Lepisosteus oculatus: one gene and its partner. The protein of the gene in region 1 binds, or shares a complex with, the protein of each later gene. Links are inferred from orthologs where the notes say so. Each region holds a gene or a part of one and is shown on either strand. Other genes may lie near its edges.

Evidence for each region. The genes of interacting proteins can lie anywhere in the genome.
Region 2: the proteins of s100b (region 1) and F-actin-capping protein subunit alpha-1 are in contact, whole or in part, in an NMR structure (PDB 1MQ1), measured with the Homo sapiens proteins. The link is inferred for Lepisosteus oculatus from reciprocal best matches to the Homo sapiens genes S100B and CAPZA1. Residues at the interface, in NP_006263.1 of Homo sapiens: Glu46, Glu47, Lys49, Val53, Lys56, Val57, Thr60, Phe77, Met80, Val81, Ala84, Cys85, Glu87; in NP_006126.1 of Homo sapiens: Thr265, Arg266, Ile269, Asp270, Trp271, Asn272, Lys273, Ile274, Leu275.

Annotation. Positions count from the first base shown.
Region 1 is NC_090707.1:31,131,606-31,138,839, reverse strand, and holds the start of s100b (protein S100-B), read left to right. Parts: upstream 1-4,229; 5' UTR 4,230-4,314; intron 4,315-6,016; 5' UTR 6,017-6,036; coding exon 6,037-6,174; intron 6,175-6,902; coding exon 6,903-7,052; 3' UTR 7,053-7,234. UniProt on the Homo sapiens protein: Small zinc- and- and calcium-binding protein that is highly expressed in astrocytes and constitutes one of the most abundant soluble proteins in brain.
Region 2 is NC_090700.1:31,502,348-31,509,912, reverse strand, and holds the start of F-actin-capping protein subunit alpha-1, read left to right. Parts: upstream 1-4,543; 5' UTR 4,544-4,601; coding exon 4,602-4,640; intron 4,641-7,565. Other genes in the region: st7l (suppressor of tumorigenicity 7 protein-like), read right to left, coding at 361-443, 1,818-1,986. UniProt on the Homo sapiens protein: F-actin-capping proteins bind in a Ca(2+)-independent manner to the fast growing ends of actin filaments (barbed end) thereby blocking the exchange of subunits at these ends.

The sequences.
Region 1 (7,234 bases):
GGCCCTCAACATTCTATGTTAAATAGTTTATAATTTGCCATGCACATTTTTTGCAGTAAGAAAAATGTTGTTCTGTCATTCCTCATCAATAATTGGCCTATTGTCATATGTGGTATACTGTATCATTGTGGGAGAAAGTGATTGCTAAAGGCTTTGGCATAATTCTAAGAGAAAAGGTCCTCAGCAAAACCTAGCATACAGTATCTCAGCTGTTGATCAGTTGCTTAATTAGCCTACAATTGCACACATCTACTTAGATAAAACAAGGATTAGGGCTAAGATGTACTTCTGGGACACCTATCTTATCCATGCTTTCAGTAAATTTATAATGAGGAAATGCTTATCTATTTACAGAACGTAAGAACAGGGAGATGTCAGAGACCAGGGTTAATGAAGAAGAATGAGTAATATCATATTCATCCCACGCACATATAGAACATAACTAAAGGTTCCATTTAACAATCAAGGGAACAAATTAGAAGGGGGTTGGTAAGTATGAAATATCAAAACATATACAGTACTATGGTTGCAAGTACTGTACATATACTTTACTTTGTTGCTATAAAATCCACCATAAATTCTGAAAAAGCAAATTGGAAATAAATGGGAAAATGGAAGTCAAAGTAAACAAAGATCCATGCAAAAAATATTAAATTAAGACATATCTGAGGGCACATGACAGAAACAACTTTGCATTAAATATTATGCTGCAATTTTTCAGTCATTTACACATTGTGTGCAACATCCATCATTTATTTATACACTGAAGTTCAGCTTGCTCCACCATGTCTCACTTGTATGTGAAGATCACCTGTTACTATTGGCATGATTGAAGACTGCTTGTGTGTAAAAGTTGCCTAGAGATTGAAATGTTATGTTTCAGGAATCAACTGAAACGATGGAAGTCCAGGAAGAACAGACAATGTCCTGGAAAGCTGAAGGTGATCACAACAGTCCAGGACCTTGCCATACATCTGCATAATAATTGTAGCTGCAGCATAAAAAATTCCAGGAATAAATAACTTGTGCATTAGCAGAATAACTGTGGCTTGCGAAGAAGCTATACATCAAGTCGAGCTAATGTGCAGGGGTAATGTTGATAGTCAAGAGAAAATTGCCATCATTTGTGACTTTGATAACATCAATGGTTGTGGAACAAGAAGTAATAATAATAATAATAATAATAATAATTGCTTACACTTATATAGCACTTTTCTGGACACTCCACTCAAAGCACTTTACAGATAATGGGGACTTCCCTCCACCAATATGCAGCATCCACCTGGATGATGCAATGGCCAGAACGCTCACCACACACCAGCTATCAGTGGGGAGGAGAGCAGAATAATGAAGCCAATTCATAGATGGGAATTATTAGGAGGTCATGATTGGTAAGGGCCAATGGGAAATTTGGCCAGGACGCCAGGGTTACACCACTACTCTTTTTGAGAAACACCCTGGGATTTTTAATGACCACAGAGACCTCGGTTTTACATCTCATCCAAATGACAGCACCTGTTTACAGTATAATGTCCCCATCACTATACTGGGGCATTAGGGCCCACATAGACCACAAGGTGAGCACCCCCTGCTGGCCCCACTAACACCTCTTCCAGTAGCAAACTTAGTTTTTCCCAGGAGGTCCCCCATCCAGGTACTGACCAGGCTCATACATGCTTAGCGGGTTCAGTGGGTTGCTAGTTGTGAGTTGCAGAGTGATATGGCTGCTGGCAGAAGTGGAGAAGTGGTGGTGTTAACAGGTAACTGTTATGTTTCTGTAGGTAGGTATACTACATGTTTCTGCTTGAAGAACCAGATGGAACCAGAAGATAATGTGTAGATACTGTACCTAATGGCTAATGTTAAGGTACTGTAACTGCTGTTCACCAAAGTGGCATTACATCTGGATGAGAACACCATAAACTTCAGTTGTTTGTTAGGCTTATTCTTTCAAACCCAATTACAATTATTAAGAATATACTGTTTTTTTCACAAATGAATGTGCAATTTTTTTTTGCTTAGAGGCAATGCATTTCACAGAGCAAATGTGCTCATTTTCATTAACAAACTACTGTAAAAAGGAAACGTTTTCAATTTCGTTATCCATCCATCCATTTTCTAACCATTTCATCCAATTCAGGGTCATGGGGGATCTTCAGCAAGCAGTGAACACAAGGCTGGGATGCCAGTGTAAAATAGGGAAGATACACAGATACACTCAATTTTCCCAGAAGCCAATTAACATGCCACCCTAATTGCCTTCGTTAAAGCACAAATCACAATAAACTTCCACTGCCATCTTTATAACCCCATCAGGTAAGTGAACATTTACCTTTTAGATTTTACAGAACAATATGTACATTACTTCATATGATAATATCCACAATATTCATTATAAAACAAGGTGAGAAATAATTATGTAATATTTTAATGCATCAGTTCCTTACATCAGGGTTGGGTCTGCTACATCACAATCCCACAAACTAGAGACATCCATGTGTCAAACTCCATGCAGATGGCATCCCAGGTCCAGGATTGACAAAATTATGCCGATGATAAAGGTGGTCATAGCCAACATTAATTTTGTAATATCACCTCATTTAGAATATTATGCAGAATTTTAGTCACCATGTTACAAAAAAGATGTTGAAAAATGAAAAAAGGGTGAGTGAGAAACATTCCGAGCTTTAAATGTTTTCCCTGACAATCAGAAATTCGAATCTGAAAATCGTTTTAGTCCTGATCAGAGATGACTGTGAAACTAAAAATAATTCTTTTTAAAACATGTATTTGAAATCCATAACAAGGGGCACTTCTTTACCCAAAGGGTTGTGGAGGTATGAAACAAGCTACCCGGCCAGTTACCAGAAGCCACCCTGGGTTCTTTCAAAAAATGGCTGGAATCATTGGATCAATTAGCTTCTACCAAACGAGGCAAGTGGTAATCGTTTGTAACCTTTCTTAATAATTCATAGTAGTCAAACTCCTAAAAGATACCGAGAAATTAACCTCAGGGGACTTCAACAATGAGTTATGAACCAGTGGATAAAAATGGAAACTAAAGGGAAGTACATTTAAAAACATATAATCCTGAGAACAGGAGAAACGTACAGTATGTGGATGTCTGGAACAATCTACCCCAGAATATTGTTGCAGGTGATAACTTGTCTTCTTTTACAAACTGGATGGATGAAATCCTCTGATCAAGCAGACAAACGACAAGCAGGCCAGATAGGCTAAAAGGCCTCCACTCTTTTGTAACTTTTCTATATTGTTTTTTACAGGGCCCCATGTGCCATGTTTCTTATGTTCATTTGATGTGTTTTCTGCTCTTTGATTTGATATCTATATTTGGATGCATTAGACTTTCATTTCATTTCAATTTCATTTCTTTTTCGGGTCAATATCTGTACTCTAATGTTTGTAATTATCCTTTTTTAATTCAGGTTTTCTCAGTTTCCTTCGAAAATCATGTGGTTTCCAAATTTCTTCTACTGATTTAGCAACATGATCAATAATAATAATAAGAGAAGCACTTTAAACATTAATGTTTTTGTATCTTTTGACTAAGTTATTTACTTTTCCCAAAATAGTGTAATCCACTTTGCCATTACAGAAGCTAGTATCATTTAATAATACATACTGTACCCTAAAATATTATTTTTAAACTTTAACTTTGAAAATGATCCAGAAATGTCCTAATATAATTAATATAATATAAATATAATCTTGATACTATTATAACACTGTTACTGTATGAACATATGCATATACAGTACCTGTGTCATACTATTTATTTGCAATTAAAATGTAATTCTCTTTAAGAGCTGATAGTAATTGAAATGCATTTGAAGCTTATTTACAGTACACTCTATATGATAATATTATCATATTAAATAATCATTATATATTTACTGTAAGATACACAAAGTAGGTTCAATATAGGAGGTTCAAGATTACTGAAATTTCCTTCTTGAAAATAATCTGTTCAAGTTGTTCCTGATTAAATACGTTATATTACCATCACAAGGCATTAATTAACCAGACAATGAGTTCAGTACTGTGCCTTATAAAACAGAAAGGAAGAAACAAAAACCCTTTAATGATAACTACAATGCAAAAGATCAAAATGGTAAATTTTTGTCACTGTCCCATGGCAGAATAAAGGGTGATTGTTTCAGACGAGCCACATGATTCAAAATGAGGCAAAAGGGCTACAGTTGCTATGGCAACTCTCCACGCCCAGCGTATAAAAAGACACTACTTCTGTTTTGGAATTTAGTTTCTTAAACTTTTCAAATCATCTACAAGGAGGTAAGTGATTTTTTGTCTAAGATTGTTTTTTGCAGATGGTTTACTTAAAAAATAAAAAGTAACAAAGTCATGCTGAAAATAAGTTGAAAGGCAACTTTTCTTCCTAATTTGTCTCACACGTTAATTTTACTTTTCACTTTAGCTTTTAGATTTATATAGATAGGTTTCTAGGTTTACCTTAATTAGTTTAATTAAATATAACGATACTACATTCAGGAAGCTTCTATTCTGTAGGACTTGTTTTGTAGATATTTATCACCTGTTGTTAGAAGACAAAGAACAGGTAAAAAAGTATACCTTCAAAATTAAATGTGCTTTAAGCAACTTTAACAAATATTTTATGTAAAAGATTGGGATTTCAAGTAATAATTCTCTTTAATGCTATTTATATTTCAAATCTTACTATTCTGGATTTTGGATAGATTTGAAAAATATTTCATATCATATAACCATGTTAAATATGCTTTACATTATACTGTATATAAATATATGAACCAAGCAAACAAAACAGTATACTTTATATATTATTTCACACATGATATGCCCCCTTCCCTGTTCTGGTGTATTTCTATTACTTTTTTGTTATTCTTGTGTATCTCGTGGTCTGCAGTGATTTCACTACTGTATGTGAAAGTACTGCAATCTTAGTCATTTTTTTAAATATAAATTCACACCGGTATGCTGCAAACAGTTGAATTTCCTCAAGTTTCTAATTCAGAAAAGAAAGCCTGCCTTGTTGAACAGCTAGGAAGTCAAACTTAAAAGGATAAATGCATTCATAACTCTATGAGCAGTCTTTTTTAAAGATAAGAAATGCCATCATTTCCAGACAATTAATGATTGACATATCACTTACTGGACAATGATTCTAAGTGAGTTTGTTTCTTTTGATCTATAGGGATAGCTAAAGGATATTATTTAGTTCAGTTCTTGAAATACATACTAGAACATGACCTTCTCAATTGAACAGTATTCAACATTACATGACCTTTTCAACAGTATGGGCATTTCTTTCTATACTGAAAAACTCAGTAGACCAACAAAAAATCATTCAGTTTCAGTGAGAGATGGCTAAAATATCGGTTCAATAGATTAAAATTAAGTAAAATGTAAAAGAAATTCACAGAATATGTTTTATATTTTTGAGAGCCACAACAAGGAATCTCTACAAAAAAGCAGGATTTACTCAAGTTGGAACCTAGATGTTTCATCTTTGGCATCTGACGCTGATCTGTAATAATGTTCATGGGAACAGTTTTCTAAATAAAATTGTGCCATGATATATGATTATTTGAAGAAATAGTGGTTAATGGTAAATTAAAATACCATTTAATTTAATCACGATTGAAAAATCATGAGTAGATTTTTAAGAATTACGATCAGAAGTAGAAGTAAAAGAAAGTTATACTCACATACAGTGTAAAATGAACTTCCAAGCGCTCACATTTAGATGATATTTCAGGGAGAAAAAAGTTTTTCTGAAATCCATCAGCACCAAGGTCCAGTATGCTCATGTATTCAATATAGTCAACAGATTGTTTAATTGTGTGCATAACTCACATCTTTGTCAACAATTTAAATCTAAATTTGCATGAACATGTACTGTAGAACAGCATTTCTGTTAATTTAAGACCTTAGGACACTGTAATCCCATTATTGTATGTGTTTTGGAGTAAAACTATTTTTTTTTGTTTCATTTAAGATTTAGGCCCTGCTTTAAATATGACTGATTTAGAAAATTCTCTGGCAACCATTATTGATGTATTTCACAAGTATTCAGAAAAAGAAGGCGATAAGCATAAACTGAAGAAAAGTGAACTGAAAGAACTGATCAACAATGAACTATCAAATTATGTGGGGGTGAGAATAATTGTTTTCACATTTTTATTAAGTGTTTTTGCAAAAGCCATAGTCATAAAAAGTTTTCTTGAAAAACAATCTGTTTGTCTGGACAGTAAAATATAGAAATACACCATTTAATTGAAATACTTTTTCTTTTATTTTCTAGTAATGAAAAATGTATTTCAGTTTTCAGCCTATATAAAAATGTTTTGTGGAAACTGATATTATTATATGAACTTGTGGAAAAACACATTGTGTAATTATATCCTGAGGATTATTGCTTTATTTTATAACTAGGAAATATAAAATGAAATGTTGAATCATTAAAATTTAGTTTTTAAGTGAAAATAATTCTATATTATTGCAGCACAGTGTTAACTACTGTATCTCATCTATACCATAGGCTATTTTATCCTGTACATTATTTTAAAGGAAATCTTGGAACAATAACTTACAGGCACTAAAATGAGAAAGGTTTTAATGCTAACAATGAATACAAGCCATGGGTAAATAATCTACATTATTTACTGTACATATAAGCTACAAGAAATACAGTATTACAATGTATAATTAAAAAAAAAAACATGTAATCCTTTAAAGAGTGTGAAATACCTTTACAATGATTGAATTTGTAACACACCCAAGTTTTCTTTTTAATTAATTAGGTTAAAGCAGTCATCAAGACAAAGGGTTGAAATGAGATCAAGATCATAATGTTGATATAGCATTCCTCTTTATTATTTCAGCAAATCAAAGACCAGGCCACGATGGACAGTTTAATAGAGAGTCTGGACACAGATGGCGATTCTGAGTGTGACTTCCAGGAATTCATGACCTTCATCACCATGGTGACCATCTGTTGCCATGAGTTCTTTGAGCACCAAGAAGACGAGTAGGCACCAGTACTTGCCAAATACAAGTACAAATCCAAGTTAACAAAAGTGAAGCAGAATATATAACAATTTACTTCTCCTAACCTTTATGGGTTTGAGGAGTTTCTAATAAGATTTAATTACAGACAATTTTGGCATGTGTGGTACAATGAATTTATGCTTTTACCCTTTTACACAGTATTTAC
Region 2 (7,565 bases), on another chromosome or scaffold:
TTTGATCCTATAAATTACACAAGGCATCATAATATGCTGGACATTTCAAGTTGTTTACATGGCAAAGAATATGAACAGCAAAAGGAATACAAGATGCAGTAATTATATCTGCTAAGGGAATTATGTTTACAATACAAAACACTACAAGAACAAATGCATAATTAATCATAAAAAGGTCTTAAGCTAATCTTTCATATTAACAAACTTTGCCGGTTGTATGGTGATAATCCATTCTACAGTTTCATCATTTTCTGTTTGAATTATTAAGCATCAATTTCTGAGAGCAACAATGCAAGTAAAATATTGTTAATAAACTGAAAGACCAATTCATTTTTGTCTAAAGCAGCAGATAGCGCTCACCAAAATGAGTCCAGAAATGAGTGATGAGGTTCCAGTAAGCGCAACATAGAACTTGGGGGTAAGAGTGTTCAGGAACACAGACACTGGAAAGAAAAAGGCTGATTAGCAAGGTGTTCACCTTAAACTGCAGGCATTTCAGTGCTTAACATTCCCACTCTACTGGATTTTTGTTCTGTTTTCACCCAAGACCAGTATATTCAGGAGGTACTTTCTGCAGAAAGACTAATATCACATGATGTACTTTCTTCTCTTTATTTTTAGTTATGAGGTCAGTACAGAAATGTACAAGGGAAAGGGTGATTTAGGGAAAACGACAAGACTCCCACTGAGGAGGAGCTTGAAACATTTCAAGTTTACGGGTTAACGACTTTCATAAAGGCATCATAGTATGCTGGATATTTATAAATAAATAAAAAAAACATACATATATAATAATATAAAACTATTCTACTTTATACGTTCATCAGTGCATTTGTATAAGTACCTTCTGTAGATCCTTAGATGTAATCCTGTAGTTCTTTTTAACAGATACATACCACAATGCCTTCTGGTACCAAGGTATAGTGATAGCTCTAATGTGTACTAGGACTTTCTATTCCATTATATAGGCCAACTTTTAAAGTATTCTGTACCAAAATCTTATATTTTGTCCTCTACAAATCATACAGGCATGAATTTAAGATTGGCTTATACAAAAGATTGATTTGTTTTTATTTCACTCAATGAAATTAAATTTGGATCAAAGATTATTATTTATTTTTATGATAGATCATAATGTAAGGACCAATCCAAATGCAATATCTCTGTGCAATTCTGTAGCTTTTAAATATCTTGTTTGACATACTGTTCATAGCTATGAAGCAGTGTGGTAGATGAGTACAAGTGTGTTAGGAGTGATACGAGTTACACACTGATGAAGAAAAAGGTTTACATGGACACTTTTTGTGCATCACACACTAATACACACAACAAATGACGTTTTCAAGAGGTGTCATACTGAGAATACTTTAAGATAGTTCTATCCCTATTTGCAAGTTAGTATGTTAGAAATATGATGACCATTTGTATATAATGGGCTAGTTAGTTGGGTTACGTGTTTACAATAGAATGAATTAACGTGAGAATGGCGCTTACTGTCTTTTTCACTTTACGAAAAGTAGAAAAGGCCTGGAAAAGCAACGATTTCCGATGTAGAGGAACATCGGTCGAACTGTCATAAGGCAGTGTGTCCATAAGGGAGTACAGACCGGTACCAAAATCTCCTTTCATGCAAACGTGAAGTTGACAGTCAGACATAAACACCTCTCCGTACTGGGGCTGCTTAAAGGACGCAGAAATACAGTTGCACACTCCACCCGGATCGTATAAAAGTAACTGTTTGCAAATTTCCCTCGGCTCGAACTGAAACCTGTCAGTTCCAGATAGCTCCCCTTATCATCTGATTCAACAGTTTTTACCTGTAGCGAGGTTTTCCTGTAGCTTCAGGGGGCTCCGGAGAATGTAGACTAGAGCCAACAGCATAGCAAACCAAAGGACCCATAAATAAGTCCAAGACCACGAGAGCCAGGATTTTAATTTCTCCGTAAATCCGGGAGACGATGAGCTACTGTTGTTTGCATCCGCCATGTTTACCCAGAAAAAATATAAACACAGGAACTATGGGATAGTGGAGGACTGTCCTCTGCAGTACTGTTAGCTGATAAGAATTGCTACAGCCAATGTGTGGAGTCACTAAAGCGTCATATATTTATTTAATTTTAAATGGTGAACGTCAGGCGTTTGCAGCTGTGGGCCTAGAGACGCCTGGGAGGCGTTTTCACCTCTTTTTAATTTACAGTGCCCCTTATTTTAGATTTAAGCATTTATAGAAAATAAATATTTATCTTGGATGAGAAACCATAATGTATGTTACTGTCCCAGTATATTCTCTGTCCAGCCTGGTTTTGTTCCCAACAATAATGCTGATTGTACTAATGATACAAAATATTGCACATTTATTATCATAACTATATAAAATAAAATAAACTGGTTTTAATGTTTATGATGTAAACGTTAAAAGATTTAATTTTATGGCTCTGAAGACAGTTCAGATGAGATATGGCAGAAATAGTATTTACATTTAACTGGATTGCTAATATTCAAAATAAATGACCTTAACATTTTGGTTTAATTTTGATCAAATGAAAAGGGACACTTACTTAGGATTTAAAATGTATTTGAAAGTGTCCTTCAAATGTTTTGCGTTTTACAAATAGTGAGATGTTGGCTTTCTTGGGCTGATGGCATATTATAGATATGAGTGATAGTCATCTCCCTTCAATCATTCAATTACCAAATACCATTAAACATTTGAAAAACATTTTCAATGTATGCCTACTTATACAACCATACTTATACAACCATAAAAAGCTAACAAGATTAAACTGGCAAAAGAGGAGAATTCTATAGTACATATCTGGATTTTTGAATACAATTATTTGTGTCTGTGATGGTGTTTATTGGGGAGCGGGGGAGGGAAGTCATCAATGTAACAGTCTGTAGGTAAATAGCCATTTTCATGTATAAGTAACTTTTAAGGACACCTATAAGTTATAGCATAATCCACTATACATCATAGTTGTCCACTTAAGATTTGTGCAGAATAGTATGTCGGTAGGGTGGCAGTGCTTGGCACTGGGGCCCTGGGTTTAATTCTGGACCTAGATTGCTGCCTGTACGTGTTCATGTGGATTTCTTCCAGGTGCTCCACAATCCAAAACCATACTGACAGGCTTATCGGCTTCTGGGGAAAACCCCAGAGTTTGCCATGTCTTTGCATACCATGGCTTGTGCTCGTTGCTTGCTGGACCAGATTCCGACTCCCCTGAGAACCCTGAAAATGAATGGATGTACGTTAGTACATTTAGCCTAAATTTGAACTAATTTCATTTCCTTCATATTTTCAATCTTAAAGGATTGCAAAGCGCTTTACATAAGAACACACTTCATCCGCCGGTGTGACATATAGGCCATCATATCTGGGCAGTCCCACTACACAGGAGACTGCGTCACCACCTGAAAATGTCAGGTAGGCTAGACTGGCCCCAGAGTGGAGTATAGCCTTCAAACCAGGTTTAACAGCCCTACACTTTCAAACATGGATCTTACAATGATGAAGCCATCATCCCCTGTTTAATTTCTCATCTAAAGAGTGACTCCTTCTCCAGCACAGTATACTCTGGCATCACCATCAATCACCACTCATCCTGTTCAGGATCTGAGGTTGGACTGGAGCCTATCCTGAGGAGCACTGGACTCCTGGCGGAATACACCATGAACAGGGCACACATAGACATGGGCATGCACATATAATCACACCAGGGTCAGTTTTACACAAGTCAATTAACCTACAGTACCAGCCGGTCCTTGGAGGAAACTATACTGAAGCATTGGTTTGGAATTTATGGACCAGGGGAAAGGGTGACACCTACTGGTTGACCAAAGCCACTTAAAGGCGCATCTCAGCTTTCCTTAGAGGTCTCCCATTGCACCTTGTTTAAGCTCTTGAATCTCTGGCCTTCTTTCAGTTCCCAATACAAGACTCCAAAAACTGGGAGACTGGGAGTTCTGTTCTGTTGCTCCAAGGCTGTGGATGACCTCCTATCCAATCTTGCATGCAAGTCAACACTTTGAAATCCTGTCATAAAACCCACTTTCATACTCCAGTTTTTAATATTGTCACAACTTCTGCACACCTGTCTCTTTTGTTTGATTATTTTATTATATAACTCTTGAGATTGTGCCATTAAAGATGTTATATAAAATAAAGTTATTAAAATAATTATTTGCTAAAAGCTTCATTGATCTATAAAATTGAAAATGATTTAAAAAATGCAAAACACAGAGGAAGAGAATTGTCAGTTAATACACCAATAAAACACAAACACCTAAATATAAAACATACAGTACAAAGATGATTAGTAAACTCTGAAAGCACTGTACAAGTTAACACCTGAAACAAATGTATTACTATACCAAAAATTACGACGATAAATTAAAGTGAAAAGGTGTAAATATTAAGCGTCAATTTCAGACTTTTAAGATGTATTAATCGGCAGAATGACCAATAGTCGGCAGTAGCACCCCCCTTTTTACCTTTTTGATGTGTTTGAAGAGGCCATATTTAAAAATAATAAGACTGCAGACGGCTTGTGTGTTTCCCATGATGCAGCGCATACTGGGGCTGGTCCAGAGGAGCCAAGATGGCCGACTTTGAGGAGCAGCTTACTGATGAGGAGAAGGTAGGGAGCTGGTTTTAAATGTTTTTAATTTAATTGTGGGCAACCATTTTGCAGATTACGTTTTTTGGAGACGTAAAAAGCCCCAGAGTCGATTCTCCCAACATCTCCGCGCACTTCCTACTTTTTTCAACCATGCAAAATTGTGTTTTCAGCTGCTCCGCTGCATGATCATTTAAAATGATTCATTATTTAAAAAAATAATAATCTTGAGGTTTTATAAAATGTGAGACAGGTTTGTACCCACTTCACTGTGTTATATTTTACATGTCGTTGCAGTCTTCTTAGATTAGGCTAAAAGTGTGGTTTAACTGTACTTGACAGGAATGAAGCCAAGTTAGTTCCGTCTTTGAATCCGGATTATGGAGAACAGTATCTAATATATTTTGTAAAATGTCCTATGCTCGGGCGATCGCGTTGTTTCAGGAACACTGTGGTATGCCTTTTCATAGTCAACAGCTATTGGCGAACTTGTATATTTGAGTTCCTCGTTAGGGCCTGTTTTGGTGTTAAGTAGCTGGTAAATCAGGTTAGATTTTGCAAACGACTTCCTGTTTCAAAGAGGTCCCCCTCCCTAGTGCCAAGTAACTGGGTTGATATCGATACTGTATATTTAAAAAAAAAATTGTCGACTCTTTTCTCTCTCTCTCGATTTGTTTTAGTCATTGCTTTGAATATTCTTATCAAATGAAGCCGCCTATTGCGCAAAAGTAATCAAATTGGAATATTCAAATAAGACTGAAAACAAAGACAAACTTACTGTCGAGACCCAATTGTCAGTTTTGCGTACCAAAACAGGTAGGTGGTATTTCGATTCTAGATGGGGAAACGTGCTGTAAAACGTAGCAATCTAGTTTGCATGGACAGACATAGCTCTTCCAAAATAAAATCTTCCCGTATAACACCTGAACTAAGTGGTAGCTGGTAATTGAGTTGACGCCACGAAAACCGTAAATGAGTTCTACTTTGTAACTGACATACTGTATTTGAGAGGTGTGCAATTATGCGCTATGCTGCCAAATTAGTGAATACTTGGGGATTTTTATGTTTATAAAATATTAGTTGTGAAGTGCTGAGCGCAGTCTGTGGTGCACAGAAAATGGGACAGTACCTTCACCTTTAGAAATGTATAATTCTAAGGACAGCCACAGACACTCCCTTATTTGTAAGCTGTATTGATGTCTTCAAACGTGGACTGCGCTGTGCTTAGTTAGAAATGGGGTTAGTTCCCCTTGAGAGCAGTTTTGGTTGCGTATTGGGAATAACGGAAAGCGAGTTAAATATTACTTGTGAAACGAAAATGTATGGAGTCACTTCTCACAGGTGGTTCTTAAGAGATTTTAATCAAAGGGAAACGGCTACCGCTGCGATTTTTAAAAACTGGCTTGCATTGCGAAAGAGCGCTGTGCGCAAGCTTTGCGACCAGTGCTGTGGGTTAGGGAGTATCTCTGTTGCTCGAACTGGCGCTGTCATGGAGTTCCCTTCTTGCTTGTCAGTTCGATCTCGTCTTGAAACCCGAATCTGGCGAGGGTGTGGTAGTTCCTTAAGTTTGCTGAAGTATTGCTGACAGCGAAACTTTCCTAAACGCAAACTCTTAGCTCCGGGCTCTGCTATTAACGGAGCCTTAGTCTAAAGGGGAAGGCGAGGTTATGTTGCGCTCTTATCCGGTACTGAAGAGTGCGATTTATCGGACCTGCAGGAGAGCAGCAGCAACGCTCTTCAGAAACTGCTGAGACTCGTGTATTTGACACGAAAAGTTCAGGTTTTGCCTATAGGTCTGTGTTCTTTACTGAAGACTTTTCTCAATGCAGCCTCTTGTTTAGATATCTCCTGTTCGTGCAAGTGGGGGAACTCACAATCTTGATTTTTAGGGTGTTTTGGATTTGTGTTGTGGAAGAAAGAATTCCGTCTTCACACAGGGGTGGTGCAGTGGGGTTAAAGTTATTAGTTCAGTTCCCTTGTGGCGCTGACAAGTGTAGAAATGTGAAAGTGCAGTTGACGAATTGTTCTGCAGTGAGATCAGGAAAGCATACATGGAGAAATGAAATAATCAATTTAGTTTAACTAATGTAAAGCATGCAAAATTGTCCTGTTACTGTAATCTCCAGATGTTGTTTTTCCCCAAATAAGGCTCACACCCCCAGCCTTACCAGTGCCATGATTTTGACTAAACCACCTGGTCATCTGTAGTAAAGTGTGTGCACGTCTTTATTTCCTGTAACTGGCCTTACAATGTATAATAAGTCTGAGAGTGTGATGTTGCTTGTCTGGGTTCTTGTGCGCAATCAGAGATCTTGGAGAGATCAGAGGGGATTCTGGGAGAGCAGGCTTTTGGCATGACCTTTCAGGTGCTACTAACTGTGCCAAACACCATAGTCCCAGTCCAACCTCAGATGCAACATATATGTTGCATGAAAGCAAGTTTAGATTAATAAATATATGTTGTCATGCTAGTATGCTATATAATATAATCTGCTTGTGAGAAATACAGAATTAGTTGCTGGCCAGATCACTGACATGCACTGGTAGAGGAGGGGGACTTCGGAGGGAGAGAGCCTTACCGGAAGTGAATTAATTTCAGTTTCTTTAAACAAATAAGGTAAGCAATCAATATCTGAAGTGCAATAAAATCTGGAGTCTGTGGCCCTCAATGAATGGGTGAGAATTTCACATCCATTATCTAGAAGCAGCCACTCAAGCACATTCATCCCAGTGTTGGAAGCCCTATTTATCTCCTTGATATGACGTTTTTGTCCCCGAAGCTCAGATGACAGTGCAGTGATGAAAAATGCCACTGTCTGCTGTACAAGACACCATATTACAAACCCTGATCAGGAAAGCAAAAGATCTGTTCTGACGTGACTTTAGTCTCAAATCTGTCTTAACCTGGAAGCCAAAGATAAAATATTCATATTGGCACTGGAGCTC